6 linked regions of the Rattus norvegicus genome follow. The protein of the gene in region 5 interacts with the protein of the main gene of each other region in a pairwise test. Links are inferred from orthologs where the notes say so. Each region holds a gene or a part of one and is shown on either strand. Other genes may lie near its edges.

Region 1 (5,604 bases), on a different chromosome or scaffold from region 5:
GGTGGGGAAAAGAAAATGCTAATAAGACAAGGTGGGTTGCACAGTACTGACCGTTGAATGAATCTCAATTTTATTTTCCTGGCTAATTATTCTAATACATTTTTTACCTTTTCCTAAACTTGATAGGAAAAGATGTGGCTTTTGATCCGCCATGCTTTAATCAAATATTCTCTATATTTATAGGATAAATATATGTTATTTCCTGAGTGTGTGATGCCAATGGTGCTGTCCTTTCTTATTCACGTAAGCCAATTACAGAGTGGGCCTGTCGGATGTGCTTAAGTCATGGGGAAGGGATGAGACTCCGAGGAGCTCCCTCCCCCTTTAGCTACATCAGGACAGGGTTAGCCTTTCCACAGTGTGAGGACAAGTAAGGTGTGGTTTACCAAGTGGCAAGCAACTGCCTTCTAGGACAGACATCCACAAATGCCTTGGAATTTAACTCATCAAAAACTGAAAAGGGGTCAACCACGGTGGTGCGAGCCCACAATCGCAGCCCTAGAGAGGCTGAGGTATTGGTTGGTACCAAGAGTTCAAGGTCAGTTTTAGTTATTTGGTCTCAACGTTTTGAAAAGGAGCTGTGTGTCTAATTGCATCACCTAAGGCATCGGCTTCAATTTCAGGTCTCATGGTCCACGTCATTATCCGTCGGTACTACGGGGAAGTAGCAACTGTATCCCTGTACTTCTTAGATACACCCTTTAGAGGTTTATTATTGCATGACTGAAGCCACTTACTAAACGTTTCTTTGATCAAAATGACCGTTGAATTCTTTATCGCTTTATTCAATCTGAACTTGCCTACTTCTTTGACCTACTTACGAGAGTAACTTTCTTACCATTGTAACATATTTATACCACTGAAATAATCCCTGTATTGGTCATAGTGTTTGTTGTTGGATCCAATTTGATAGTATCTTATTTAAGATTAAAAAATATGTCATCTTGTCAGGCTGTGTTATCAGCGTGCTTCGTGAGATATTAAACAGTCAAATGCTCCATTTTAAAGGCAAAGGTTTGGGCCCATAGACTATGACATGGCACGCCAATTTCACAGTTTCTTTCTGACCTTCCACATCTAGTCCTAATTTCATTTTCTCTTCCCTTTAAGCCTGGCCTGTCATTACACTAAGTTCACAGACTGTTGGTGTTTAGCCTAGGCTGAACTTTCAGCCTCCAGACTGTGAGCTTACTCAAGACAAAGGATCATGCCTGCCTCTTCCAAAATGCCCTTTGTGGATCTCGGGACCCAGCTTGCAGTTACACTTTATTATCTGATCCACCTTTCTTAGTTATTCCCACATGGTCAAGAGGGAAAAGAGGCCCTGTGGAATGGAGAGATAGATTGAGTCACCTCTAACCGTATGACCCGAAGCAAATTATCCAAATCTCCATTGTCTTCCCCTAAACTGAGATCATGTACTATAAAAACTGATGTCAAAAAATTATATATATAAAAAAACAAAAAACTGATGTCAAGAAAATAAGTATTCTTTTAAGATTTCAACCGAAAAAAAATTAGTGCACAGTGTTTTGATATATGTATACACTGTGAAGGCAAAATCAAGTAGGAAGAAGGAGGGAGGGAGGCTATGGTGTTTGAGGCTAGCTTGGGCTATTACAGAGACCCTGTTCCAAAACCATGTCATTATCTATTCTCTTAGCAATTTCTAGTGTGCAGTGTTCATAAAGGTAGCCACTGTGTAGCTCAGCAGCTCTCTTTCTGAGCTTGCTCCTCCTAACTGAAATTTGATCACTAGCCCCACAGGCTCCCTTTCCCTAGTCCCAGTAACCACCTCTCTACTCGCGACTTGACTTTTTTCAGTGCTCCTTAAATAAGATCCGTAAGTACTTGTGCTGTGTGCCTACTTTGCTTAACATCCTCCAGGTTCATTCCATATCGTCCCAGGTGACAGAATATCCTTCATTTTTAAACTGGACTTCTCTCTGAGCCCTCAAACAACAGACAATGAGGTGGGCCTCCTGGATGGAGTTGGTAAGACTGGACTAGCGCGCGCAGAATGTAATTGTCCTCTTATTTCGCAGCAAGCAGGAAAACCATTGCTTTTGAATTAAGACCTAAAACTAGGTAGGTATAGGTTCCCCGAAATCTGAGCACTAAACTAGAAAGCTGGGTACTGCACAGGATCCCCAGAGTTGCTGGTCTGGGTAGAGGAGGGAGGAGGGGCGCAGCGCGCAGCCCCCTCCCTTCTCTTTGTCCTCCTCCCCTCCCCTGGTTTCTCTTCCCGCTCCCGCGGTCCCCTCCGCCCCGCACCGCTGAACTCGAGCTCAGCCTGCCGAGCCCGGCCACTTTAGGGGGAGGCGCCAAGTATCGGCTGTTCTTGGCCCTGGGCGAGCAGTCCCGGCTGCCCGGAGCGGAGAGGACGCGGCGCGGAGGTAAGCCTGCGTGTGGGCGGCAGGCGCGGGAGGGCCCTGGGGGCGAAGGCCAGGCGGAGGCCTCACCCTGCGCCCGGCCCGGTGCGCAGCCGCTGCGGGGGCAGGGCTCAGCGCCAACCCACCCGAGCCAGGGCCCGGCGCGCACGCGCGAGCTCGTGGGCGAGGTCCCTGCTGTGGTTCTGGGTTCACGTCCCTTCCTGGGCCCTGGGACGGCGTAGCGTTGCGCATGCGCGCAGGCCAAGCCTGGGGTCCGTTTTTGCGTCGCCCCGAGGCAACGGCTGTAGGGTTCCCGCTTCCAGCTTGGGGGCCCCTGCCCCCGGTGTCTCCATCCCTTCCAAGCACAAGGCGCGGGCTAGCGGCGCCGTTTCCAGGTCTTTCCGCTCTTTCCCGCCTGGAGCCGCTCGCTGACTCAATGGCCGCATACGCTTTAGGCCTTTGGTCCCCAAGTGGAGGGATGGCGGGAAAGGCCTGGCCTTCCTAAGATTTTCCTGTCCTTTGGGCTCAGCCTAGGCCGGAAGTGGAGGGGTTTAGAGGTGAAAAACTTTCCCAGTGCCCCTTCTTGGCGGAGATGGGACTTCCGCCTGAGTTGAAGATAGGTTTACAGCCGACCTTTTGCCTTTCTTTACAAGGTAAAGCTTTAGCTCGGACTGTAACAAAGGACACAAAGTTGCCCTGGCTGCCCGAACTAAGCTTGGCCACATCGGGCCACTTGGCGAGATTGTAGCGAAAGCCAGAGATTTAATAAATGTGGCCACGTTGGAAAAGGGAACAAAGAGAGGTTCGGTGACCCAGAACCGCTTAGAGGACTTAACTTGAAGTTTGGGTTTAAATAGTGAACGAGGAATACATGTGCAGAGTTGGCCTGTCCCAGGTGTAGTCCGGCCTGTCAATGACCCATCCTGTCCCAGCCACAGTTACAATTCCTTGGAGTCCAAAGCCTGACACCTGAAGGGAGAGGCAAACGTGTTTCCCTTTAGAATAGCTTCCATCCGGACAGAACGGTTTTGGCGACTTAATGTCTATTAAAGCGGAATAAAAGAGATCGGGTCCTGTGGAACTTGGTTCTTTAGTGCATTCGTGTGACAGTCACTGTTTAACGGTCATTGAGTCCGATCTATTTGCACCTTCCTAGTAAAGTCTGGTCACCTTACTGGGCAATGGCATCTAGGTAAGTCAGTTACCAGGGCTACTGTGGAGAGTGTCCTAACAATGCCTTTACCTCTGTGCTTTTTTAGTCACGGGGTTATGAGTTAAACCGAAAACTCCTGATACTTTCAACTCTTACCTAAACACTTTGAAGAGCAATGACATCTGTCACAGTGGCAGTACTGTAGGCCTCAGGACAGCATTGAAGTATTTCCTCCTGAAAGGACTTCTCATTCTTATATTCTGCAACCATGGATTCAACAAATCTTGAATTGGAAATATTAAGGAAGAACCTTTACTGAACATACAGAAGTTTGGGGAGGGGTATTATCATTAACAATAAAATATATCAACGTTTTAAAATTATTTTTTATTCTTATAAGACCTGTACGTCACTAGCTCAGACCGGCCTGAACAATGTATTAGGGAAGCCCAGGTTGGCCTGGAATTCAAGAGTCTCCTGCTTCAGCTTCTTCCGTACTGAGAGTGCAGGCACCAAGCCTGGAGAGATAGCAACCACTTGCACAGCATTTACATTGGGTATTACTTCCAGGGCTGGCTGAAAGTACACGGGGGGTGGTGGTGGGGTGGTGGGGGTGGCTGGCAGCTGGCTATGTGCACATTACAGTTTCTGTAAATGACTTGCATTCACAGAGTGTACTGTTGATATGGGGTTGGGTCCTGCAACACTCTGGCTTACTGTACCTTGCAGTTGCTTCTCAATGTCCCCTGACATTAAGTCATGAAGATGACTAGTGTGATGCCATGCCATGATTCCAGTGATTTCTTGAGGAGGTTTGTATGAGCCAGACAAACTTAGACAGCTTGGCTCTTGACCATAGAGGACATGGCTGGAGAGGGATATAAGGTGTGGTTCCCTTGAGGTCTTTCAGTAAAATGAAGTAAATCACAGACACTCCATGGTCAAGCATTAAGAGACGACTAGAGTATAGCTGCAGGGAACTCTTAATTCCCCTTTGTCCATTGGAGATCATCGTCATAATTAGTTTCTGTTTTAACAGATCTGAAGTGAAATTAAAATGCCTACTACGTATTGCTATTTTCAAAGTTTATTTGACATGATTACAAATCAAAATTGTTCAGGAAAGGGAGATGGGGAAAAGGGTTATCCGGATGGCAGAGAGGCATTAAAGCCTTTGTCCAGGGCTAAAAACAAGCAGGTCCTTGTGGGAATGGCCCCTAAGCACATCAGCCGCCCATCTGTAAAGGCCATTCATAATGTCTGTCATGGGATGCTAACATGATCCTTCTAGCTTTCCTTCTCTGGAAGGAATACGTGTCTCTTTCACGCGGTGACCTCATTCTGAAAACATGAACTGAAGGAAATTGAAAGTACAATGGATTATTAAACATCGACCTGACACTGAAGTGTGTGCTTTTAATATCTTCATTTTGCTAGTCTAACCTGAGCTAATATGCATTGTTCTCCCCACCCCCAATACATTTTTGGGCTACCAAGTGCTAGTGAATGATAGCTAAACGTCAGTGTTTTCTATATTGTGCCAAGTGTATACAAAAGGACGCCTAAGAGGAAACAAGTGGAGGTCAAGAGGATCCACTGTGTTCAAGAATTATGTTGTAGAGCCAAGGTCTTTAATAGGATAATGGTTACCACATCTGTTAATACCTATTTAAGCATTGGATGTATAAGAAATTAAATCTCAAATGGACTTACACATGGCTCTCTGTGTCAGCTCATGTCATTCATGTAGCAACATAAAACATTTTCCCACTTGAAGGTGATATTTTGTTATCAGCGTTGAGCTCAGTAATCTGGAGACTTCTTACAGCATTGCTGTAGGCTGAATTACCCCAAGCCTCACCTCGAAATTTGGAAACCAGTTACACAACAGCAGTTATATGTCACAGTGAGCGCACCCCTTTCCGTACACACTGGGTGGCACTTCCTTTGAGAGTGCACTGGCTTTCCCACTGCTCCTTCATAGTTCTGCCCACCTGGTTATACACCCCATTGCACCCAGCAGCTTGCTAGGTATAAAAGCATCTTGTTAAAAAAAACCCTATTGCCATTTACTTCTCC
Region 2 (5,041 bases), on a different chromosome or scaffold from region 5:
TAAAGCTGAGAAACACACTCCATGGCAGGAAAACTAACCCTCAGGAAATTAAGTTCTAAATATTTATGGCATTTAGTTATTAACTTACTGACATAATTTCATTTTCATTTTAGTGAAGACAAAATACTTACTTCTGTACACTTGTTCCAATGTTAGCTAAAAATTCTTCCAATTGTCCATTGAGATTTTCAGAACCCATCTTAAAGAAACTTATCTGAGGTGGGAGAGGAACAGAAGGTTGTAAAACATAATCATACACACAAAAAATATTTAGAGAAAAATCACACCAACAATTCCTAGGGTAGAATTACACAGAAATGACAGTGGGTTGTTTGATCTGTAAAATAACAGGTTGAGGTTTACAATGTCTACAGACACAGAGTCGCTAAGGAAACCAGGATTCAATCCTACTATATATCCTTTCACATTTAGGCCGTCTGCTGTTGTATTTGACATTAAGTCTCACTTGTAATCCAGGGTGACCTCAAATATTTCCCTAACCTCAGACTACCATGACTAGTTTTTTACAAAAAAAGAAAAAAAAAAAAGGTACTCTTATGCTTAAAAGGATATTCAAATTTCTTGGTTTTTAAAGAACTAATATATTCCCCAAAACTCAATTTTCTAGCCTCTTTCCTAATGTATACTTTGTTGGGCATTTGAATATTTTATGCACATGGATGTTTTGCATGTGTGTATGTCTGTTCATCATGTATGTGACACATGCCCTTAGAGGTCAGATCCCCCACCATGTAGACACTGGAAATTGAATGTGGGTCCTCTAGAAAAGCAATCGGTGCTCTTACACATCTCTCCATCCCTTCAACTACTATTTCTGACTCAGGAAGTATGTGAGGAACATGGGACAGATGCAAACCTACTCATTCTTTATCCGTTTGTTTGTTTGTTTGTTTGTTTGTTTGTTTTTCCAAATGGTTTCTCTGTGTAGCCCTGGCTATTCTAGAACTAACTCTCTTTGTAGACCAGGCTGGCCTTGAATTCAAGAGATCCTCTGCCTCCCAAGTGCTGGGATTAAAGCTGTCCACCACCATGTCCGATTCAAACTTGTTCATTCTTTCTCAGGTTTCTAATGAAAAAAAGCTCCAGTTATTAATTCCTCTAGCTTTCTGCTCTCTGTCTCCAACTGAGGTGGGAAAAGTCTTACTACAATGTACTTCCATTTATTTAAAACATTTTATATCTTCATTTGCAAGAAAAAACATTCGCCCAATCTTCTTAAAATAAGACACTCATGACAGTCTTTAAAATTACTTTTTAAAACCACAATACAGGGGCTGGAGGGATGGCGCAGTGGTTAAGAGCACCGACTGCTCTTCCAGAGGTCCTGAGTTCAATTCCCAGCAACCACATGGTGGCTCATAACCATCTGTAATGGATCCAATTCTCTCTTCTGGTGTGTCTAAAGACAGTGACAGTGTACTCACATAAAATAAGTAAATAAATCTTTAAAAAAAATAAAGTAAAACCACAATACAAAACTGTTGACAACAGTTTATTATAGCCCTATAGTTAATACAAAAATCAAACTTAATACAAGGCTTTTAGGACAGATATAATCCAAAACATATTTACCTGAGCCTGCATGTATCCAAGCAGAGGTTCTAACAAAGCTATTTTCTTCTTGTACTGAAGAGTATTTAGTGCACAAAAATAATGCATCATGGTCTGGTGTTGCTTTTTCCTGGAAGTATACACATCCTCTGTTACTTCATACTTTACCTTTGAATGAAAAGAATAAAATATTATTTAATTTTGAATTATCTCCAGTAGAGTGGAGAAGAGTCTTTCAAGGAAAATGGAGAATCAATAATTACTGAACATAGCCTTCCTGTTTTCTACTCGATTGGAAACCCATTAACATACCAGGTCAAGTCATTTTTCTGTATACCAACCATATCACTTACAAAACACATATCTGCATGCAACTATAAATGTAGGCATCTGCACTAACAGGACAGAGTCACCATATGGGTTACTATTTAGCCAGCGATGTCTGATCTGAATCAGCTCACAGCACAAATTCTCCCCTCCTGGTTTTCTCCTTACCACTCTTTTTCTCTACCTGCTTATTTTTCTTGACTCACACTTAAAATACATATGCTCCCAAGTTATTTCACCCAAACGACTTTTCTTTGAGCATTTATAGAGCCTACTATGTATTAGGTAGGCTCTTTTCCTTCTCTACTTGGAATACCTATCAAGTTTCGACATTATCAGTGCACACTGGCCTGGTGGTGTGAATCTGTACCTCCTCTCTGGCAGTCCCTGTCCCAAGTGCCAGAGAAAGGAAGGCTGGGTTCTTTTGTATATAAGAATGAGTGTTTATGTACACTGAGAATGCATAGACTGAAAATAGCTTCTTCCTTACAGCAGCTGTCCTTCCTTATTGTTCTTTCCTCTCTCTAGGAAATGTCAATGTGGATCTCACCTCCTACTATAGGACTTCTCTCTTCCAAAGCAGGGCTAGGAAGTGAGTCTCAGTGCTTGCCTACCATTAACAAGGTCCTAGTGAGAGATAAAGAACAAGTCTCCAAAGCATTCTTTTATAACAATCTTCTTTGTGACTGTGCAAGGAAGTCTCATATCCCACTGGTATCACTCTAGCACTCTCCCTTTCATGCTGTTATTATTGCTTTGGTTATACAACATAACTAACTGCATGGCACTATTTACCTACCTAGAATCCTTCCCTGACTATTCACTTCCTTTAACAAAATTTCAAGGTGGTAAATGCAGCAATCTGGCTCCAAACTATTCCTTGTTAGGTTTTGACAAATGGGATTGTTGGTCTGTTTTAAGATAGTGTCTCATTCTGTACCCAAGTTAACCTTGAACTCCAGGGTGGCCTCAAAGTTTCAGGGATCCCTTGCCTCCCAAGAGCTAGGATCACAGGTGAGAGCCATACCACCCAGCCCCCAACGACTTTGTCAACCTCTCCCCAAACCCATCCTGAGAACTGAGAGGTGATCACCTCCTGTTGTCAAGTAATGATAGAACTCAGTGAAAACTGCTGCTCTGCATTCACTGCCTAATTTCACCATCACGACTGCTGCTCTGTGGGTCCCTCTTCTGCACAGAGAAGAAAGGCATGGAACCAAGTAACTAGTGCATGGCTTCAAATAAAGGAAGAGCAGGCCTCAGATACGTCCCCCAAATCTCACTCCATAGCCAGTACTCTAAACCTTCACAGTGTTCAAACTCCAGAGCATGCCTCTACAGAGAGACCGTTTTGGTTTGGGGGATTTTTGCTGTTCAGTTTGGGGCTTTTTTAACAAAAAGTCCTTTTCAATCCCCAAAGTGTTGTCTACTTAACTACATTGCACATGCAACCTCCTCAGGCTCGATCTGTACTGTCTAGAAAAATCTTTATTAGTGCATCTAAGTCATGTCACTGCAGTCTCTTCCTCCTTGTACTCCGGAACGCATTCACACTAAGCGTGCAATGAATAGGAGAGCCGGAGTGGTCCCTACTCACACTGTTCCCTGAGGAACTCAGCATACTGCCTGATAAATAGATGCTCAGTAATTTTTCTAATTCAAAAAAACATTAATTCTTTTTAAAATACTTGGAATAGCCAAAAGCAATATAAATATACCAAATTTTATAACCTAGACCTTTAAGTACCTCTCTAAGGCAAAATGACTACTATAAATCTCAAATTGTGTACGTTTATTGGTTAACTTGGGAACTAGAATTAGAAATGGAAAGCAGGGCTGGAGAGATGGCTCAGCGGTAAAGAGCACTGCCTGCTCTTCCAGAGGTCCTGAGTTCAATTCCTAGCAACCACATGGTGGCTCACAACCATCTGTAATGGGTTCTGATGCCCTCTTCTGGTGAGTCTGAAGACAGCTACAGTGTACTCATAGACATTAAATAAATAAATAATTCTTTAAAAAAAAAAGAAGAAATGGAAAGCAGCTTAGAGGAGTGATCACTCACTGTGTGAGAATCATTTCCTTTGTTGCCACAGCGGCTCCTACACAGTAGATCCTACTGAGCTGTCCACTTCCGTAAGTAGTCACTGTGTCTCTACCAGCAGCTGTGACTACGGCTGCAAATACCAAGTCCTGAAGAGGTCACCGCATTTGCAAGCATTGGTATAAGCTGTAACTCAGGACTTCAATCACCCAGAACTTGTAAATATTCTCTTCTTTGATCTTTAAATGCATTCATCCTCAAATATTATGTAGTACTTCTGGGTTTCATTCTTTGAAAAAATATCAAGATATAAACGTTCCCTTTAAATAGAGAAAGCCTTATACCAGAATTTCATTGAGTTCCATGTGTGACATTAACTGAAATATGTATGTGACTTACTTTCACTTGTTTTATTCAAGATTTTTAATGAATTTCCAGCATAGAGTGTTACCATGAATACCTATTTAAACACTCATATTCACACTTCCATACAACTAAATACAAAACTGAACTTTATCTCCTTTTCTATCTGAGATTATAATTGCAGCATTCGTCCTCCCTTTCCTCCCTAAACCTCCAATAAGCCTGTCCTGTTCACTTCACTGTATGTATTTACTGTAGCATCAAAATACAAAACAAAAACCAGTTTTATATATTGGGAACCAGTCATCCTTTTAAAATAGTTATGTTTAATTATACTATCAACTATTGGCAGAAGAGAAGCATTTTGTTTAAAGAGACCAATTACCAGAAATGATTTGAACATCTAGGAAAAATTATGAGAGTAATACCATGACAATGGTTTGTTGGCTCTATTTTTCAATAGGAAAAACTAAATAACCTAATAAAATGGTCGTCACCTTTGATATTGACAGAGTGCATGTAGGCTAGAGCAGTAACGGCTCAGCAGTTAAGAGCACTCACAGCTTTCCCAGGGGATCCAGGTTCAATCCTAGCACCTACATAAGTTGGCTCACAATCATCTATAACTCCAGGTCCAAGGGATCTGACTCTCTCTCCTTGCTTTTTCTGGTAAATATACACAGTACACAGATATACATGCAGGCAAAACACCTATCCATACTAAAAATACTTATAAAA
Region 3 (3,868 bases), on a different chromosome or scaffold from region 5:
CAAACAGAACTGGTGAAATCACAGACTGTGAAGCTCAATTTCTGTGATGAAAAGTAGGATGGAATTTATGTTTTTATTTGTCACGGAGGGAATGCAAGGGAATGAAGAGTATAAACAAAATTCCAAAACTAATGAGTATTGAACCTCTTGAGGAAAACAGCATTTCGGGAGTGCTTCGTCTGAAAAGATAAGTACATTTGTATGCATATAGGTATTGAACCTGTAACACTCCATTCTTACTGCTCAAGTAAGGCGAGTTCTGAAGAAAGTCCATTATGTAACTCTATTCTTAAGCCTAACTCTAGTAACTTTGTATTTGAGAATAACAAAACTATATTTCTTTGAAATATTCTATGACATTTTTAACAATTCAAATGAATCTCCTCCATTAATATCAACGAAATTATGCTACACAAGACCCTTCTACCAGAATCGATTTTCTATGTAGCATTAGCATCTCCTGTACAATCATATCCCCAGATCTCTCCTCATCTAACCAAGAGCTCTTCTCACTTCCTGTGTCTCGATTGCATGTGTGTGCATGTGAGACAAGAGGGAGGTAAGAAAGGCTTGAAGGGAAGGAGAGAGAAATGCTGGCTAACCGTGATGTTTCACCTAGGGGTTAGGAGTGGACACTATGATTTATTTTCCTTTTCCATATATTTCTTATATAAATGCACAAATTAAGGTTTATTGTGTATATGTAATAGATAAAATTATCTGTCATTTTGCTCATAAAACGAATTCAGCCATTTTATATATTATATATGCACATGTATGATGTTCCCAAAACACCTCAATCATTAGTTTATTAAAAAGTGACATACAATAAGTGATAATTTGACACTGTGCAAATTCTACCTGGCCACACTAGCCATTGCTAGAAAGGCTAATTCCTAACAGTATCATTTATACTCCCAAATCACTGGGAATTTTAAATTTTCCAATGACGCCAGAGATATTCTCTAAAATTCTTCCCTGGTGGCATGAACCCAGACCATTCAGATTAATTTGTTCTGAGTAACTCAATACATGAATTCAAACATAAGTTTCAATGCACAAAAATTAAGTCTACAATATCTAGTTATTTTGGGTGCTCCCAACGAACTTTAGTTTGTATCTCATATATGGAGCACTAATGGAGGCTTGAGAAGGGCAGAAGTGCTGAACCGGAGAGCCAGCGACTTACATGCTCTCTTGACACTTAATGACAAGCTTTCATCCCCGACACATACGGGGATTCTTGAGGCCTGCAGTTGCATTCCTGCCGCTCAGGATAATCAATAAAATCTGGGGCAGGCAAGCCAGACAGGATCATTAGGGATTTGTTCCAGATTGTGAATGTTGGACAAACTGGAAGAATGAAGGTAACATCAAAAGTATGAAGATGGAGAGAGTTAGCTGGGTCATAGAAAGACAGCATGTTGTTGTCATAATCCAAGAGGACGCCTAGACGCTTCAACTGTGGGGGCACATCCACCAGCATTTCCTTGTTGTTATGTCGCACCACGAAGTGACTGTTGCATCGAGAGAAGACCCAGGAAGAGGCATTCTTGCCAATCCACTCGTTCTTTGGAGCTGATTTGTAGGCAATACCGATTGCATACCTGAGACAGTGGAGAAGCCAGAAAAACATTTATGAACGATTGGAGGTGTGCTAGACATTGCTTAGGGTCTAGGAGTGACTCACTACATGCTCCTTCCTTAAAACATTTATACTTGCATACAGAATGCTAATGTAATCGGAGTTTGTAAAGCCAGTAATTAGAGTGATACAGAATTTCCTATCTCCTAGCCCAGTAGATTTTCCAAAATTTTATCTTTTAAAAACTGGCAAGACTTTCTAGGACTAATTCTTATCAAAGATCTCTTTTTTTATTTATTCATTTATATATAAGTACACTGTAGCTGTCTTCAGATACACCAGAAGAGGGCATCGGATCTCTTTACAGATGGTTGTGAGCCACCATGTGGTTGCTGGGAATTGAACTCAAGACCTCTGGAAGAGTAGTTGGGTGCTCTTAACCGCTGAGCCATCTCTCCAGCCCTTATCAAAGATCTCTTAACCGTGACTTTTTAGTATCTTAGTTGTGCTCTACAACTGAATCTCCTAAGAACCTAAAAGCAGAGAAGATGAGAGAAAGAAAGAAAAAAATCCCACTCACCATGTTGAAGAACCCATGACCACCTCCCAGTAGTGGCAGCCACTGTCAATGAATATATTTCCTGCTGCCCCATAACACCCCGTGCCACTAAATCTCTCCGGAGTGTGGCTCTTCTTCAGAGAGCTCTCGTCCTTCTCCATCTGCAATCCATCATTGGAGATCTTCAACTTCTTGTGAGTCATTTTGGGATCTAGTTTAAATGGTTGGCCTGAAAGAAAAAAAAAGTAAAAGAAGAAGGGAAGGGAAACTATGATGAAACATTTACGAACTGTGTCTTTCCCCTCCAGGACCATCATTAGCAGGGGACCCCCAATATGATGATGTAGGTTGGCTGCACTTTGAACTATATTAGGAAAGCAGGCAAGAGTGTCAACTGGCAACTAAGAAGAGAAGTCATCCTCCCAAAAGATAACCTTCATGCATTATTTTCCCTCTGTGAAAAAACGTGGGTATCTCATTTTGCTGGAAGTCATATTCCAAGCACGGAGGAGAAAGTGTTCCCATCATATATTATGATATTAAAAGGGACCACTCCAAGTCTCACATCCTCAAATGTGAGAGCTGCAGAGAGCGCCCATCCTCCATCAATCCATCATTGGAGGTCTGCACCTTCTTCTGAGTCATTTTGGGACCTAGTTTAAATGGTTAGCCTAAAAAAAGTAAAAGAATGTCTTACTTCCATGAGTGGGTTGGGATATAGGGAAATTTTTTAAAGGAGTGTTGCAATGTTTGAGGTAGGATAGTCTTTGTGTTAATGAGGCAATTGCTCACAAAAGAAAAAGGAAACAAAAACAAAAAACAAAAAAAAAAATAAAACCAACTCAGCAACAGATGTTTGCTTCTTTGAAACTGGAGTGCGCATATAATTAGGCGACTTTGTTTGAGTGGCTGCTCCATCATCAATGATGAAAGATAGCATGTGCTTTACTACAGAGACCTTTATAACCATATGACAAAAACACTGTCCTGTGACCCCAAGTGCTGGGTATTGAAAGAGGTTTAGTGTACAGTATGCCTCTGTGATAGACACTGTGTGTTTATACAGCATCCATTCCTTACTTCTTCTCTCTCTCTCTCTCTCACTCTGCCAGCCTCCCTCGATGCTTGGGATGACTAATAAAAAGGAAACTGAAGTCAAGCAGAGTGGAAGAAAATTCTGATTAAGCTCCTGTTTCCTTGATTAAAGGCTTACCAACGTTTTCTCTTCTTCCTACTTTGAAGGGAAATATGACATCAGAGGTTGCACTGGCCATCTTCTGGCCTTGTGGGTGAACTGATGCACAAAGACAGAGCTCCAAGCTTTCAAGAGATCTCACAGCTGCTATACTAGTCTTGAGTTGGCTGCCTTCACACTTCTTTCAGTGTGTGACAGGCAGTTAAAAACAAACAAACAAACAAAGACCACTATTCACTTAAACTACTTGGAAATCCTTGCTAAACTCTGTCGGTGGTGATCAAGGGCATTCCTAAAAATATGGCTTCTCTGTGGTAGAGCTTTGCTAGATCACCACAAGTAATACACTTTAACTTAATTTTCTCCCAAGCATAGGAGACAGGGGTGGAAGGCAGAGACAAACCCTTCCCTAACCTCATTCCAAGCTGTGCTATGTATGTTTTAGTTCACAAACACCCCTGGGCACCAACAAATCCTTTACCTGAAGCACAAGCTACAACAGTAAAGCCCCTCTCCTCAGAGCCACTGC
Region 4 (5,801 bases), on a different chromosome or scaffold from region 5:
TCCTCCTCTTACTTCCCTGTAGGGGCATGGCATGCAGACTTACATATCAACATAAACTAAATAAACATGACTAAGATATAAACATTCGAGGATGTGTTGCTGTCCATTTGTGGAAATACCTTGCCAATGTGTATAACGTTTATGTCAGTTAAATAAACTTTTATAACAAATCATAATCAGACCCATGTAAAGGCACGTGCCTCTGATCCCAGCCCTGAGGAGGATACAGCAGGGGCCCTCTCAAGTTCAGTGCCAGCCTGGACTATGCAGAATTATTCTGCCTAGAAACAAAAACAGAATAGTTGGTCCATTACAATGGTACACTTGTCATGGCTTTCCTTCTGGGTTGAGGGTTGTGCTTTAAAAGGGGTAGTAAACTAGGCCTCCGCCCACCCCAAACTCTCTTCCTCTACCTAGAAAGAAAACCCTATCTGGGGATCTGTGGTCTGGATGTCATCATGTGTCCACTCAGACGGTTTCATAGGTTCCCATGTGCCTTCTATTCTGGAGACCAGAACAAGTTGCAGTTGTGCCCTGAGAGGACTCACACCCAAGAGCCCGGGCAGGGCAGTTTCCTCCTCCTGAGAGCGCTCACAAGGGAGACTGTCTGCTAACTGTCCAGACCAAATGCTCTCCAGCTTTTGCTATGCTGAGCAAGTGGACGTCAAGTGGCTGGCTCCTGGTATATTGACAGTACAAAAGTTCGTGAGCAGGCTGGAGAGATGGCTCAATGGTTAAGAGTGCTGACTGCAACTTCCAGAGGTACTGAGTTCAAATCCCAGAAGCCTCATGGTGGCTCATAACCACCTGTAATGGGATCTGATGCCCTCTTCTGGTGTGTCTGAAGATGGCTACAGTGTACTCATTAAAATAAATGTATCTTAAAAAAAAAAGAAAGAAAGAAAAGAGCTTGTATGCATGGGCCGCTTACACAAGGCACAGCTCTGATCGCTTGGAACCTTACTTAGGCTATGATGATATTGTCCCTTGTCTGTGCTGTGGTAAATAGATGCTATAACACTGGGCCCTGACCCCCTCTCTTTTGGACAAGGTCTCGCTCGGTTGCCCAGGCTGGCTTTGAACTGCTGGGCTCCACAGTTGTCCGGCCTCTGCTTTCCTCATGATGGAGGCTGTTCAGTTGTCAGCTGGAAAGCCTTTTCCTTGACTTGGGGTCCTGTCTTCCTTTCCTTTCCCAGGCTTCAGGACCCTGGATGGAAGGAGAGAACCATCCACACTCTCACCTCCACACTCATAGTAGGACATGCATCCACCTAAACAGATAAAGAAGAAATAAACATGGTCTCATTTTATAAAGCCAAGCAGGCTTTGATCTCGTGGTATTGCCTTGCCTCGACTTCCCAAAGACTCCTATTTACAGGCTTGGCTCGATGTACCTCTTTTTTTTTTTAATTTTTTTTTTTTTTTGCTGTACCTCCTTTTTACCTTTCTTTCTTTCCTTCTTTTTTTAAATGAATTTTATGAAATTCTCTCGAAATCCAATAAGCTTGAAGCAAAACTTTAACACAGTAAGAACTAATCTTCAATTTCTTTTGTATTTATTTATCTTATGTATATAAATGTCTCACCCGCCTGTATGTGCGTGAGGCCGTGTGTCTGGCGCCTGCGGAGGACAAAAGAGTGTGGTCGGATCACATGTACATGTACACCGGGTGGGTGCTGGGGACTGAACCCAGGTCTTCTGAAAGAGTAACAAGTGCTCTTAATCACGGAATCACCTCTCCAGCCCTCGCTTTTTTCCTTTATGGACATAAATTAATTCACCGACCCTCACGAAGATGATGAGGTAGGAACTGTACTAATTCTTGTGCAAGGGAAGGAAGAGAGGAGAGAGGGTGTCCTGGGCAGACACCAACTGTTATCACACCAGCAGTTTCTGCCTGGTTGCCCCCAGGCTCTTATGGCTGCGGGAGGTCCCACCACCTCGCCCCGATCCCAAGTAGGCAGCCGGTTGAGCCCTAGTCTGTAGAAATCCCGTCCTTCTGCTTGAAGCACAGCAGCTGGTAGAGGCCTAGGCAGTAGCAGGAGCCTGAGCCTTGCAGCAAGGGCAAGCTGCTAGACGCCGTCTCCTAGCAACCGACTGCAGTCACGTGGCCGCGCGGATTGGCCTCACGCCGTTGGAACTGGCGCAACGCGACGGGCGGGGCCAGGAAGTTTGTTCCCGAGTTCGGAGCCCAGGAGTCCCCGTGGCCGTCGCTCAGGTGCCCTCCGCCGGGTCGGGATGGAGCTGCCTGCCGTGAACTTGAAGGTGGCCGCGCGGCCGGGTCGGGCGGGGGTCCAGGAACCTGGGGAACGGAGTCGGAGCCGAGGGGAAGGCGCAGAGCCCCGGGGAGGAGGCGGCGGACACCGAGAGGGACACCTGGGGACAGAGACGGACAGGGCCGCCCCTCCCGGATGGACCCAGGCTGGCACGGGTCCCGGACCGTCCGGGCCAGCGCTCCTGGTGTCCCCCACAGCAGGACAGGGACACCTCTCCTCCTGAGAGGTCAGTGCAGTCCGGGTGGACCCCTCTGGGTGCTGGCTGAAGTTAGGAGAAACTCGGTGTTCCCAAACAATTGCTTCTCCCTAATTTCCGCATGCAGCGTCTTTATTTCATAATTAAGAAGCAGGAACTGTAGAGGTTTCCTAAAAGCAAAAAACCCCAGAGGCTGTGCTGGGCTCCGGGTAGCAGGGCTGCCTACGATGTCTTCATTTCCTAAGTTCTTTTTCTCTCTCAGCCCTCCTCGTTTGCAACAGAGGTGCTGGCCACTTAGCTTTGGCAAGAGCGGTGTGAACCTGGAAGTAAACCGGCCATCTTGGTTTCTTGGCGCAAGTTTCTTGAAACCCTAAACCTTCTCTCAGGTGTTAAACCACTAAGCACCCTTTGGTGTCTGAGACGAAAGGGACAGAAGATATAGGTGGCATTGGAGCAGCTGAGTGATTGATTGCACGCGGGCTGGGCTGTGACTTGCTCTGGCCGGTTTCCCATTCCTAAGCTGCTGGCTAAGCAGCTGGAGGGAGATTGGAGTAAAGGAATGGGTTTGAGTGGATCCGTTTTCTAGGGACAGATTTATGGGCTACTGCAGGTCTGGGAGGCAGCCTTAGGGGTCAGGCTCTGCCTTATTCTGCTTGAGCCTACCCTCCAATAAGTATGAGGACAGCATGAGTCTCTATGGTAGAACATTTGAGTAGCCCACACCAGGACTGGGGTTCCATCCCAGTACCACACACTAACAAATAATACTAAAACAGAAGCAGGTGGGAAAAGAGCTGGTGTTTATGGGCTGATATGTCTTATTCATTTGAGTTAGGGTCTCGTGTGGTACTGGCTAGCCTCAAACTTATTATGCAGCTGAGGATGGCCTCAAACTTCTGGTCCTCCTGCCTCCACCTCTCCAGTGCCAGGATTGCACGGTACTGGCAATAAAACCCAGGGCTTCTTGCTGGATAAGGAAGCACTACCAACCAAGCCATATCCCCAGCCTGTGTTGCTTTTATTCATCTCAGTCCTACACTGAGAACACTGAAACTGCATTCTGTTGTTTTTGTTTGGGGGGGGGTCTTGCTATCTAGCTCTGGCTGGCCTAGAACTCGCTATATACATCAGGCTGTCTTTGAATTGACAAGAGATCCTCTCGATTTTGCCTCCCGAGAGTGCTGGGATTAAAGGCACGCAGCACCACGCCTAGCCAGAGGAGCTATGCTCTTTCATCGGAGTGCAAACTTCAGCTTAGATCATCCAAGTAATAGCAGGTGCAATCGGGATTCGAACCCCCGAAGACCTAGCTCCCGTGCTTTGCATTTCGTGGTTATCAGTTGCTTAGGGCTAACTTTTGGTTTTCGTCGGCCTACATCAACATTTAGAACCTGATAGGCACAGTGTATCCACCACAAATGTGAGCTAGCAGGCAATGCAAAGACCAGGCCCCTAGGACTTGATTGACAAGCTCTGTGGATCTTGGCAGGGGCCAGTCAGAAGCAGGTCAGCACCGGGGGGGTTGTGAAGTAGCAGGTAGGAAGGACTTTCAGTCACTTTTGGGCTTTGCGCTGATGACAGCGTTTTACTGTATGTCTCGGTATTGGGGACACGCTGAATTACTCACAAGCTGAAATTCAGAATGAGCCCGAGAGCTCTGTTGTGTTGCCTGCAAGATCTGCAAGAACCCCATGGAAGGCAGCTGGGACACCATGGCTGCCCGCCTCAGTCCACCCTCAGCCTTTTAAAAAGGATGCCCTGCTCTGCTCAGCACTTGGCCTGGGCTCTGTGAAAGAAGTGGGTCCCTGACTAGGCCTCACCTACCCATGCTTCTCTTTTTTTTTTGGTTCTTTTTTTCGGAGCTGGGGACCTGGGGACCGAACCCAGGGCCTTGCGCTTCCTAGGTAAGCGCTCTACCACTGAGCTAAATCCCCAGCCCTGTACCCATACTTCTCTTAAGCAGAAGCTTGTAGCAGCTCAGGTTGGAGGAGCCTTGTGAAGTCCTGGGAGGAGCAGTGGGGGCAGGGAGGAGGCAGCAATGAGGCCTGCTGTGTAGAGTGTCCTCCACACTGTCCTCCAGAGCCCAGGAGTCCCTGCTGTGCTGAAGAGCAGGTGGCAGTTTATGTCAGACTTGCCCAGGTTCGTGTGGGGAGCTAGGATCCATTCCATGGTTTGCCTCCAAAGTCTGTCAGATGACCAGGGCAGGACCTGCCTCTCTCCTGGGCTACCTGAGTAGCCCTTAAACTTAGCTGTCCTGGGGGCATCCTATCTTGTCTAATAGGTCACCAAATGTTTTCACAGGACACACTGGGATGTATTAAGTTGAGGTCAGGGACATCCCCAACCCCTCCTCCTTTGGGACTGGTAAACAAAGACTTGCTTTGTTTTCTCCTGGTAGGGTACCACATCCCAGGCAAGTTTTCTACCACCGAGCCATAGTCCATAGCCCGGAACAAAGGGTTAATTAATACTCAGGGCCCTTAGACTTCTGCTGACCCACCCTTTTCCAAGTTAAATTTCACTTCCCTCTGCCCTGCCTTTGACCTTAAAGATCCCGACTGGACAGAGTGCTGGTTTCGGGTGAGGTTTTAAGACCACAGAGTTAGTTATCTGTGTGACATTGAGGTTTCTTGACTTCTCCGCTGTGTCTTCTAGGGTGATGAGGGGCTTAAAAACCCAGACCAGATGTCGGGAAGTGGCAGTGTGTGAAGAGAGACAGGGATCTCTGTGAATTTGAAGCCAGCCTGGTCTAACAGAGGGAGTTCTAGGACAGTCGGGGCTGCACAGAGAAACTGTGTCTCAAAAGACTGAGACACGGGGGTTCGGGGGGGGGGCAAGAAAACAGCCCTCAGGCCAGGAAATGGGTTTACCTTTGCAAACCCCTGAAACAAAGCCAGCCAGCCAGAAAGCCCAGAACAGGGCGGTTGATCAATGTGCATCTGAGCTGTTGTTTGGCTTTCTGACTGGACCTGGTGTGCTGAGCCTCTGTTCTACTCCAGGTTGCCCTGGAGGCAGTGTAGGTAGAAGGTTCCGTGGAATAGGGCTTTGACAGAATTACTGCAGAGAATGAGGTGGACCATCGTAGGGGACCAAGGGTGACAAGAACTGAAGCCCCTGCTTCCCCTGAAGCCAAGGTTCCCTTTCCATAGATGCTCCCTGAGTGATACACACGATCTCCACCACACAGAGAGGGGCCTGCATTTCCTGTCCAGCACTGCCCTGGCCTGTTGATCTTGTTTGGGAAAGAGAGTTCCGGGCTCTGGCTCTGCTCCCTTCCACCTGTGGCCTGGTCCTTCCCAGTTTCTCTTAGAGAAGCCTCAGACTCCTG
Region 5 (5,041 bases):
CTGAGCAAGTAGCTAGGCCTTTCCAGATCTCAAAGTCTCCGTGCTGAAGTGGGATAACCTAACTTATAAGGTTGAATTAAGAAGAATAAATGAAGCATTGAAATGGAAGCACGTTGCAACATGAAAAGAAGACACTTTCATATATCTGTAGGTACACAATTTATTAAATAATGAATCTGAAAGCAGTCACAGCATCAGACTAGGTGAGTACACTGGCTGTTTTTGTGTGTCAATTTGACACAAGCTAGAGTTATCACAGAGAAAAGGAGCCGCAGTTGAGGAAATGCCTCCATGAGATCCAGCTGTAAGGCATTTTATCAATTAGTGGTCAAAGGGGGAGGGCCCAAGCCCATTGTGGGTGGTGCCGTCCCTGGGCTGGTGGTCCTGGGTTCTATAAGAGAGCAAGCTGAGCAAGCCAGGGGAAGCAATCCAGTAAGTAACATCCCTCCATGACCTCTGCATCAGCTCCTGCTTCCTGACCTGCTGAAGTTCCAGTCCTGACTTCCTTTGGCAATGTGGAAAGTGTAAGCTGAATAAACCCTTTCCTCCCCAACTTGCTTCTTGTTTGTGATGTTTAAACAAGAACAGAAACCCTGACTAAGACAATGAGCTACACATGGTGCCTGGAAAGCTGAAGTGAATTACAACAAATATGCACCAAGGCAGGATTACTTCCATGTGTACTTTTTATTGCTAACTTCCTATTGTAGCCTCAATTTCTCTCATTAAAATGTCACTGTTGGGGTTGGGGATTTAGTTCAGTGATAGAACGCTTGCCTAGCAAGGCCCTGGATTCAGTCCCCAGCTCCAAAAAAATAAAATAAAATAAAATAAAATAAAATAAAATGTCACTGTGAGTTACTCAGCCACCGCTGCCTCTTCTCTACCATGACATTGACATGCAGTCTCACATATTAACATGTTCTTCATTGCTTTAAGACACTGTTAACATCGCTGTTACCACTGCTCCTCTCACAGGTGAACCGGAAGTGGTGTTCTATTACTTTGTCATATTCTAGACTCTGACTTGTCTCTTTAAGTTCCTCATAGTTCCCCACTTCTATATCCTTTCTAACAGTTATCACGTCTACCTTAGAACATAACGAGCTTCCCAAGGACTAGGAATGGCCAACTGTACTCCCCAGATGCAGCTCTGAACCAATTTTGAGAAAGGCTTACCTATGTAACAATGTCACAGATGTAAAGAGTAACATTATTCTGAAGCAGATAGGAAGAAAAGGAGAGGATAGCACCCTTCAGTCGTTTCCTGCTAAATAACTTATTTACTAGAACAAAAACTGTTTGTCTTAGTCTAAGGAACCTATGCATTTATTTTCACATTAATAGCCCATTATGCTGTGTTTGCAAGATGGGGTTTTGTAACCATAGTAACTCTCCTTTCCTTTGAACAATGTTTGGAAGGAGTCGCTACAGACATACGAGATACTTGAACTTACTAAAATTCTTGTTTCTTACAAGAAAAGATGCAACAGTCTCTAACATATCAGAAAGAAGGAAAAGTATTGCTACAATTTTAATTATTCTTTTCTTTTTTTTTTTTTTTTTTATTCTAAGACAGGGTCTCACTACGTAGCCCAGGGTAGCGCTGACCTTGCAGCCTCATTCCTGCCTCTGCCTCGGAAGTGATGAGTTACAGGCTGGAGCTGCCATACTCGTTATGATTATTTTTTAGTAAGTGGACTCAAGCTTTGTGGGGCTTTCAAACTTTGCAGTGAAAAGTAAATATTAGCCAGTATACTAGGATAGCATGGCATAGATGTATGAAGTTGAAAACTTCTGAGGATGGCCTAAACATCAAACTTCCACCCAAAAGGTCAATATGCATCCAAACCCAATTAACACTAACAAGTAAGACCCCTCCCTCCTCAATGCCAGGCAAGAGGAGCTCAGGACAAGAACGCAGCTGATGGTCCAACCCAATGCACTGCTTGTCACCCTCAGCCCTGCTCTCCAGCTGCGGGCGGCCAGCACTATGTTCCACTAATACAAACAGAATACCCAGAGTGCAGGTGTCAGACCACTGCCTTCGCTCAGCCTGGATTAAGGCTGAATTAGAACTACTATCCATCTATGAGACGTAAACCAGTATAAAGCAGGTTAGTACAGAGAAAAGGGGACAAGAAAAGACAAGTAAAAAAGAAAACCTTGTTTTAAAGTCCACCATTTGCACAAATCCCTCACATACACTGTGGCCTGGGAGGTCAAGGTTCACATAGACATGAAAAACAGAGCAGTCACTAAGGCAAATGAAGACCAAGGTCACTCTCCTTGTTTCGCTCAGAATCAGTCTTATTACAGCAACACAAATGCCCTTCATCAATGAGACTCATCTAAAGACTCACCTCATGCTTGGAGAAGAGTCGGACGCCCTCCAGCTGGTGGAAAACTGGGTAGTGCTGGGAATCAATCTGGTCACGCCGATACACATCACCTACCACGAGGAAGGCATTGAGCCCCGCATGCAGCAAGTCCCACTGATGTGCTGATGTGTGTGCTCTCAGCATGTGTCCCCGATTCAAGTAATAGTTGTCCCCCTTCTTCCTGCTGGGGTGGTCAGCTGGGATTAGCAGGCTATCGAAGTTCTGCCAGGTGGTGACCACTGGGGAAAGCTGGTCATAGACGGAGAACAGAGGTGTCCTGGATCGCCCCATGTACTGCTGGTAGAAGTGCTCCTTCACCCGCTCCTTAATCAGCCACAGAGGGTGGAACTTCTGGTTGTGCAGGTTCCTGCCCACCTTGGAAAGGACTTTCTGGGTGAGGTTAGTGTGGTCATCTTGAGGGTAGGATTTACCAAGCAGCTCCAGCACACGGCCTGGAGCACCTTGGACAGCAAACTGCGATGCAGCTGGCCTTGAGCCCCAAGCCCGATGTTGATGACATCTGCAGACATGACTGACTTTCCTCACCAGGTAGAGGTGCTCATGGGCAGCTCTGATGAAGGCCAAACAGACCATTATAGAAGCTTCTCACAAACTCTGGAAAGAGCACACAAGGAAAACACCAGTCAAGTTTCATCCTGTAGACAAGTGTGTCCTTCAGTTCTCTGAACAGGCTCATGATGTCCCTAGTGGCATATTTACTTCTCTGTCACCACCTGCATACCACAGGAAGACCAACGGAGAAAATCTATTGTCAAGGCTGCTGTAACTTGAATGTCCTCTCCAGACTTTATCTAAATTTCACTGTCGTCTAACAGTACTAAAAGGTGCAAAGCATCAGGGACTCTGCATGTAGAATACAAGACTGAGCTGATAAGAGTGGAGTGGGCTCCTGTACAAGGATAAGCACAAACTTTGTGCTCTTGCTTTTACCACAAGATGATCCATGAGATGGTCTGGCCTCGCACTGGTGCCTTAAGTTTTGACCTCCAAAATCCAAAGTTGTGAGAAAGGAGCTTCTTTTTATTGTAAATTACTCAGTCTGTGGAATTAGGTTAAAGAAACAATAAACTACAACTCAGGCATGTAGGACACACCTTTAAGCCCTGCACTCAGGAGCTAAAGCAGGTGGATCTCTGTGAGTTTGAGGCCAGCATGGCTTGGCACAGCAAGCTCCAGGTGGGTCAAGGCTATACAGTAAGACCCTGCCTCAAATTGTAATTCACTAATTAATTAATTACTTAAAGAATTAAATCTTAATTAATTAAAATAAACCACAACTAAGACAGTCTTAGTGCTTACTACTCTAAATCAGAATAGTAAAGGTGTTTATCTCTGATCTCTAGGTATTCTTCTCCTGTAATTTAAATTCTTTCCTCTGTAGGAAAAAAAAAAAAAGTATCATCATGCTGCCCTGTCAATTTCCTCGGGAAGGAGAACACACTGAATGTGCCAACTTCCTTTATTTTCACTGCATTCTAACACCAAAATAATCTCTGAAGGATCACCTAAAAGTTATCCGAGTCTAGCTAAGCAGACCTCCAAAATGCATAACTTCAAAACAACATTTTAAATAGGATCTTAGGAGATAGCTCAGTTGCTAAAGTACCTGCCAGGCAGACACGAGAGCCCACATTTGGGTCCCCAGTGCCCACGGAGCAAAGGGGGGGACATCCACAAGCATCTGTAAAACCAGTGTTGAGTCACAAGCTCATGGGGAGCCAGCATAGCTGAATTGATGAGTTACAAGTTCAATGAAAGACCCTGTCTTAAACAATAAGGTGGAGAGTGTGAGAGGCCTTGTCTCAAAAACAAGGTGAAAGTGTCTGAGGAAGACTTCAGTGTGGACCCCTGGCTTTCACATACATCCACACATCTGTACACATGTAGCCAAATGTATACATGTACACAACAACAACACATATATACAGATGTTCTGATTAAAATTACTACTTTAGATAGTAGAGTTTCATTTAGGGATTTTTAAAAATGAAAAGAAACTTAATACAACTTTATACTAAGTAACAGACTATGCCAAGGGAGGGCAGAAATTGTATTTATGAATGTAAGTCTTCTCCACTCTTATTGGTCATGGCATTTAATAAAAAATCCATTGCATCACTCTATCAATGACTGTTTGTCATCCTAAAAGACAAATTTTCTACAGAAACACATTCATACAATAAGTCCAACATAGGACAGATGGACAGAATTTTCTGGAAAAGGAACACAAGGCACAGAAGGACAGAGGAAGGAACAGAAGACAGAGGAAGACCTGGGAGAACAGGGCAAGTAGGGGTGAGTGAGAAGAGGAGAAAGAAAATGCATATAACTTAGTAAAACAGTAGAATTTCAGTTAAGACCCACCTCAGCACTCATGTGGGATAGGTCACTGACCTCTCAGGTAAACTGATAAATATCCAGAAGTAGATGCCAAAATTCTGTGGCTGTTAGAAGAAAGACTATGATCTACTAACATTGTTTATTCCTTACTTCAACAAAAGCAGTTTTCAACTCCTTCAGGGACCATAGTAACAAAGAAGACCAAAGTTGAAAATTCAGAAATAATTTAAGTTCTTAAACTTAAGTCACTCAAATCTTTTGAATTTAGGACTTTCATTTTGAGATACTTTAAAATATAC
Region 6 (5,539 bases), on a different chromosome or scaffold from region 5:
CATCCCTGCGGTTGTTGGCCAGCACCCTCTCATATTGACACCGCATCTCATCCAGGACCTTGTTGAGGTCCACAGTGGGGGCAGTGTCCAGCTCCACATTGAGTCGATCTCCAAGCTGCTCACGAAGCAAGTTGACCTCCTGAGAATGGAAATGGAGTAAGGAATGTCAGAGTGGGGTTTACTTCTGTTTAAGAAAGATTTTTAAAATTTACATTTATGTGTGTCTGTATGCCACATGGAGCTGGGGTTATGGGCAGTTGTGAGCTCCCTGACATGGGTACAGGAAGCTGAACTTGGGTCCTCTGGAAGAGCAAACAGCACTCTTAATTGCTGAGTCATTTTCCCTTATACTCTTTCTATTAGGTCCAAATGTTTCAGCTATTTGTCTGCAAAACAGGTGTAATTTTGTACCCTTTCCCAGAGGATTATTGTGAGACAGGGAAGAGTTACTACACACTACTACACACACAGTAAATCTATAAAATTAATGACACACGCTCAGGTATCCATAATTGCCAACTATTGTTACCAGCTAAGGTATCCACACTTGCCAGCTATTGTTACCATCAAAATATTCAAAGAGTAAATTTTTTCTTTGTTACATCAATCTGCTTCTCATTTTAATAGCTTATGACAGAATCAAATTATAAACACACAATACCTACAAACATGATTCCAAGTATTGTGTGATTGTTTATCCCTTTTTTGGAAGGGGATACACAGTCAGTTTTATCAGCTCAATTTCCTTGTTATACAATAGAGCTATGGAAAAAACCATGAGTTGAGTTACTTCTCAACCCAAGCAATGGCAGGAAAAAGAGTGACCTCACCTCCGTGCCACTGATGAGGGTTATGTTAATGATGCATGCTGTACATCACATCTACCTTGAGAGACACTGGGGCAATCATGCTACACAGTGAGAATGTCTCTAGTTTTGTTCCAGTATAGGCAGTGTCTGTCCCTGTTCAATTTATACACATGAGATTTCTCAACAGAACTCCTCCTATAGTCTTTGGCCCAGCGGCCACTCCACTCACCTCTTCATGGTCTTTCTTAAGGCAAAGTAGATCATCTTTCAGAGACTCCACATGGGCCTCCAGATCTGACTTGCACAGGGTCAGTTCACCCAGGATCCCACGAAGACCACTGATGTCATTCTCTACCAGCTGGCGCAGGGACAGTTCGCTCTCATACCTTTCAGAGTAGGAGAAAGGGAGGGAAGTGGCTTAATTGGCTCAGAGTACTGGGATGCAGGGTTGGATGACACATGGCCTCCAGAGAGTCACACGCCTCAATTTTCCTTACATTCCAAATGAAGGTGAGTTCAGGGTTCAAACATTCTCAGTTAAAAATATATATTATGCAGAAAATATTTTCTCTCTTACTGGAAGACATTAATTATTGTTAATTATTATTTTATAATTAAATTTAAAATTTAACGTGTAAATTGCATACACAAAGCACACTGTGGCTTAACAAAATAAACATAATTTGACTTACTTTGACCTAAAATCATCGGCAGCCAGTTTGCAGTTGTCCACCTGCACGGCAAGTCTAGAATTCTCTGCCTTCGTGCACAATATCTAAGAGGTAAGTCATCATTTAGTGAGGAGCTCTTTAGAAGAAATCCACATATCTATTTTAACAGCCTTGCCACTCATTAGTTTATGAAAGTCTTTCCAAGTTAACATAATGTCTCTTCCAACCCATGATTCCTATTAACTGTGCCACTTCACAGAATAAAAAAACATTCAGTGCCAATTGAGAAACAAAATACAGAAGCAAAAGACCTTCCCTTCCTAAAATGAAGGATTTCACCTTTTCTTTCTTAGTATGTGTAGGTGTGTGTGTGTGTGTGTGTGTGTGTGTGTGTGTGTGTGTATGTGCAGGTGAGCGTGTATATTTAAGAGTATGTGTATGCACATGAGAGTGTACACATTTGAGTGTGTCTGTATGTTGGTAAGAGTGTAGCCTTGTGCAGTGAGAAGAAGGTGAGAAGTTTTAGGTGCTTGTGAGCTGCCACACTTGGATGGTAGGAACTGAACTCAGGTGCTCATGAGCAGTACAATGTTGTTAATCACTGCTGAGCCGTCTCTGGGGTTCAAGGTTTCCTTTATCAGTGATGCAGGGCATTTTGTCACCATCACTGGCTTTTGAGCTTTGTTGAAGTTTCCCACACTGCTAGTGTTTGTTAGAATTGCATCTCTGTGGTCACAGAAATCCATCAATTAAAAAAGGAGAAGTGGCTTTGTTGGTCAAGGGTTTGAAACACGAGTAGGAAGATCTGGGTTCAATCTCACAGAGCTCATGTGAAAAAGGTAAGTATAATACTCAGTGTCGGTTAACCCCTGGTACTAAGGAGGTGGAAACAGTAAGATCCCTGGGGCTCCCTGGCCAGGCCTCAGGGACTGCAGCTAAATCAGTGAGTTCCAGTTTCAAGAAGAGACTCTGTCTCAAAAACAAGGCGAGGAACGCAAGGTACTTGCCATGGACCCCAGACCTCCTTACCCACACTCAGGCATGTGTTCCCTCCCCACACGATCATATATCACGTCGCCCACCAACCCCACATTTTGCACACATACACACAAATAGAGAACGATTTCCAGAACTCAAATGGATGGCATTCAATATCTGTTTGATAAAGAATATAAACACGCAATGATACATGAAGAATGGGGTTTAGAAGACGTCATAACTCAATTTCCTTCACAGTGTAGACAAAGTCTACAGCAAGGTGACATTTCTATAGTCACCCAATAATTCTCTGAGAATGAGATTGATTATTTGAACTAACTCTGGGAATCCCCCTTTCCTTTGTTTTACATCCACAAAGCAACCTGCCCTAGTACAGCTATGAGAGAAAACAGAATTGGAAAACAGAGAACATTGGGAAACATTAGGGCAGTGAGACACCCAACCTTTTGTTGTAGCTCTTCAATGGTGTCAAAGTACCGCTGATAATCCGGGCAGACCGGTGTGGCATCGGGCTCACATTGCTCTCGGATCCTGCACTCCAGCTCTGCATTGTTCTCTTCCAGGCTTCTCACCCGCTCTAGGTAGCTGGCCAATCTGTCATTCAGGAACTGCATGGTCTCCTTCTCATTACTGTTGAACGTCCCTTCTTCACACCATGCACAGTTCCCCACCAGGCAAGGACTGTTACAACCGCCAGTCAAGTAGCACGGTGAGAGGCAACCGGCCGGGAGGTGAGCCCTGCAGAGGAAGCTCGGGGTTTGACATCTGGATGTGGCGCAGGTGCTGGGAAGGTAAGTTGTGCTGGTGGGGCAGAATGAGGCAGTTGTGCAGCTCGATGCCCCTGCATAGGGCTCAGAAGAGCAGCAGTCAGGGGAGCCTTCGGAAGCCATCTTCTGAGAAGGAATGAACAGATTGAATGGTGTATTGCTTAGGTCTCGCCTAGTCTCCCAAAGGTCTAGGACTTTTGGCTTCCTGAGACTTTTATATCTCCCTTCAAATGAGTGTTTACAGGACACACCGATGTTTTCTCTAGCCTTGCAGATGCCAGCTTTCCTACAAACATCTCATTAGTGTTGATTATTTACGGAGGAAGTTGTATGCCTCGTAAAAGGAGGATAACTTCAGGTTACTAAATCAGGACTAACGCCATTTCCACATGCTGCTTGGATAAAAATTCTTATTTCAGCAAACGGCCATAGGAAGCACTACCTTTTTGAATGAATAAGGAACCAAAGAAAAAAATCGAGCCATCAGTAATTAAAGGTAGAGATCATTGGAGATACAGAAAGTAATATTCCAACAGGGTTTGATTTTGAAAATTGATTGCTCTTGTCTACTTTACAAATGGACATCACAGCTTATTAAATTGTATTTGTTTGTGCTACCAACCACTGTAAAAATGGCGGTTAGCAATCTCAATCTTGAAGTGTCTTTTTTTTAGTGAGTTTGAAGTATGTGCTTACATGGTACAGGAAAAGGTCTATGCTGAGTGCAAATTATGTGCATTCATTTTATAGACTGATGAGAATAATTGAGTCAAACTATGAATTGGTTATCAAGATCTGAATTGCGATCTTTGGTCATCTAGAATTTGTGGTCTGTAGCCAAGCACTAAGCATGCCTAACCCTGCTTAGTTGGTGAGATTGGATGTGCACTGAGTGGATAGTCAGACACGCAAGCTTTGCTTTCTCATGTTTACATTTTAGAAGCGTTATGCTGTTTTTGAAAAGCAGTCTTTCTTTCTTTTTCCTTCCGTCCTTCCCTCCCTTCTTCCTTCCTTTGAAGTTGGAGATCAATCATAAGGTATTGTTCATGGCACATAATTGATTTACCTCAACCTATAGTCCCAGTCCTTACCTATATTAAGGAGAGCAGAGAGAGAAATTGCAATGAGGGTTTAGCTGTAATCTGTGACGGAGCTCCTTACCCATTATACTTGGGAATAGAGCCAAGGAAGCCACAAAAATCTTACTTTTAAAAAAATATGGAGTCTGTCTCCTCTTTTTTATTTAGGAAAGTCTCAATTTCATGAAAATGAAAAATATTTGGATGTTGGGAATATGATTATGTGATGTCTGTTTCAGCTAACAGTTTCACTGAGTTAAGAACCTCTGGTACAGAACTAGATGGACATTGGTTCTAGGATCTCACCTCTACTATAACTATAAACTGGAGTTTCATGTTGTCTGATTTTAATTGTGGTTTTTATTTCACTTTCAAAAATTACACAGAGAAAATTGCTTTCAGCATCAATAAAAGTCCACTGTGCGTGTGTATGTGTGTGTGTGTGTGTGTGTGTGTGTGTGTGTGTATGCATGGATATGCATGTATGTGGAAAGTAGACATTAATGTTGAGTGTCTTAGATTGCTTTTTATTTCCTTATTATCATTTTTGAGACAGATTTCTCTACATAACTCTGGCTGACTTGGAATTCACTGTGTAGACTAGGCTGGCTTCTGACTCATATTAATCTACCTGAATCTGTCTCCTGAATGATTTGATAAAAGGCATGTGTTGTCAGGAGCCAACATAGGAGAAGCTAAAAACTAGCAGGAGATCTTTCCGAGATGGGTGTGACTTAGATTAAAATCTACAGTGGAGCTCCAGTAGGCAAGTCCTAGGAGAAATTCATTTGAGGAAAGATTTCTGTTATCAATATGCTTTCTTGTTATTATTAAACATATATAATGATCACTAGGCATTAGCCTACCCTTTGAGCAGATCTCTGCAGAACTACAAAGATGTACTGTCTCTTAGTGATGCTATACAGACAAATGAATGAGTTCCCAATTCTTTATAATGATCCTATAAGAATTCCTAAAATTATATCAGTATTTATTAAGATCTTTTATAGTGGGACTGCTATTAGGTTCTCTCTGATAATCAAAACTGCACTGAGAACTCTGCCAGTCTTTAGTGTCATGAGTTAATTGCTTCTGAGATACCAAGCAGACACCTCCTACTCAGAGCACATTAGTGGTTGTAAAACCACTAACTAAAGGTCATAAAAAGGGAACTAACAATTCATTATAGTTGCTAGGACAGAAGATAAAATATT

What was found.
Region 1: the proteins of Fars2 (region 5) and Rcbtb2 interact in binary tests that used the Homo sapiens proteins (3 or more experiments, as listed by UniProt). The two-hybrid records come from large-scale screens. The link is inferred for Rattus norvegicus from reciprocal best matches to the Homo sapiens genes FARS2 and RCBTB2.
Region 2: the proteins of Fars2 (region 5) and Appl1 interact in binary tests that used the Homo sapiens proteins (3 or more experiments, as listed by UniProt). The two-hybrid records come from large-scale screens. The link is inferred for Rattus norvegicus from reciprocal best matches to the Homo sapiens genes FARS2 and APPL1.
Region 3: the proteins of Fars2 (region 5) and Mid2 interact in binary tests that used the Homo sapiens proteins (3 or more experiments, as listed by UniProt). The two-hybrid records come from large-scale screens. The link is inferred for Rattus norvegicus from reciprocal best matches to the Homo sapiens genes FARS2 and MID2.
Region 4: the proteins of Fars2 (region 5) and Agtrap interact in binary tests that used the Homo sapiens proteins (3 or more experiments, as listed by UniProt). The two-hybrid records come from large-scale screens. The link is inferred for Rattus norvegicus from reciprocal best matches to the Homo sapiens genes FARS2 and AGTRAP.
Region 6: the proteins of Fars2 (region 5) and Krt40 interact in binary tests that used the Homo sapiens proteins (3 or more experiments, as listed by UniProt). The two-hybrid records come from large-scale screens. The link is inferred for Rattus norvegicus from reciprocal best matches to the Homo sapiens genes FARS2 and KRT40.

What each region holds. Positions count from the first base shown.
Region 1 is NC_086033.1:54,731,617-54,737,220, forward strand, and holds the start of Rcbtb2 (RCC1 and BTB domain-containing protein 2), read left to right. Parts: upstream 1-2,368; 5' UTR 2,369-2,396; intron 2,397-3,047; exon of another isoform or gene 3,048-3,564; intron 3,565-4,588; exon of another isoform or gene 4,589-4,879; intron 4,880-5,604.
Region 2 is NC_086034.1:2,151,969-2,157,009, forward strand, and holds part of Appl1 (DCC-interacting protein 13-alpha), read right to left. Parts: intron 1,741-5,041; coding exon 1,594-1,740; intron 215-1,593; coding exon 132-214; intron 1-131. UniProt on the Homo sapiens protein: Multifunctional adapter protein that binds to various membrane receptors, nuclear factors and signaling proteins to regulate many processes, such as cell proliferation, immune response, endosomal trafficking and cell metabolism.
Region 3 is NC_086039.1:109,239,051-109,242,918, reverse strand, and holds the end of Mid2 (probable E3 ubiquitin-protein ligase MID2), read right to left. Parts: intron 2,374-3,868; coding exon 2,166-2,373; intron 1,608-2,165; coding exon 1,205-1,607; 3' UTR 946-1,204; downstream 1-945. UniProt on the Homo sapiens protein: E3 ubiquitin ligase that plays a role in microtubule stabilization. Mediates the 'Lys-48'-linked polyubiquitination of LRRK2 to drive its localization to microtubules and its proteasomal degradation in neurons.
Region 4 is NC_086023.1:163,798,572-163,804,372, reverse strand, and holds the start of Agtrap (type-1 angiotensin II receptor-associated protein), read left to right. Parts: upstream 1-2,198; 5' UTR 2,199-2,239; coding exon 2,240-2,266; intron 2,267-2,368; exon of another isoform or gene 2,369-2,503; intron 2,504-5,801. UniProt on the Homo sapiens protein: Appears to be a negative regulator of type-1 angiotensin II receptor-mediated signaling by regulating receptor internalization as well as mechanism of receptor desensitization such as phosphorylation.
Region 5 is NC_086035.1:28,870,905-28,875,945, forward strand, and holds part of Fars2 (phenylalanine--tRNA ligase, mitochondrial), read right to left. Parts: intron 2,997-5,041; 5' UTR 2,976-2,996; coding exon 2,364-2,975; intron 1-2,363. UniProt on the Homo sapiens protein: Is responsible for the charging of tRNA(Phe) with phenylalanine in mitochondrial translation.
Region 6 is NC_086028.1:84,995,530-85,001,068, forward strand, and holds the start of Krt40 (keratin, type I cytoskeletal 40), read right to left. Parts: upstream 3,370-5,539; coding exon 2,923-3,369; intron 1,585-2,922; coding exon 1,502-1,584; intron 1,196-1,501; coding exon 1,039-1,195; intron 140-1,038; coding exon 1-139. UniProt on the Homo sapiens protein: May play a role in late hair differentiation.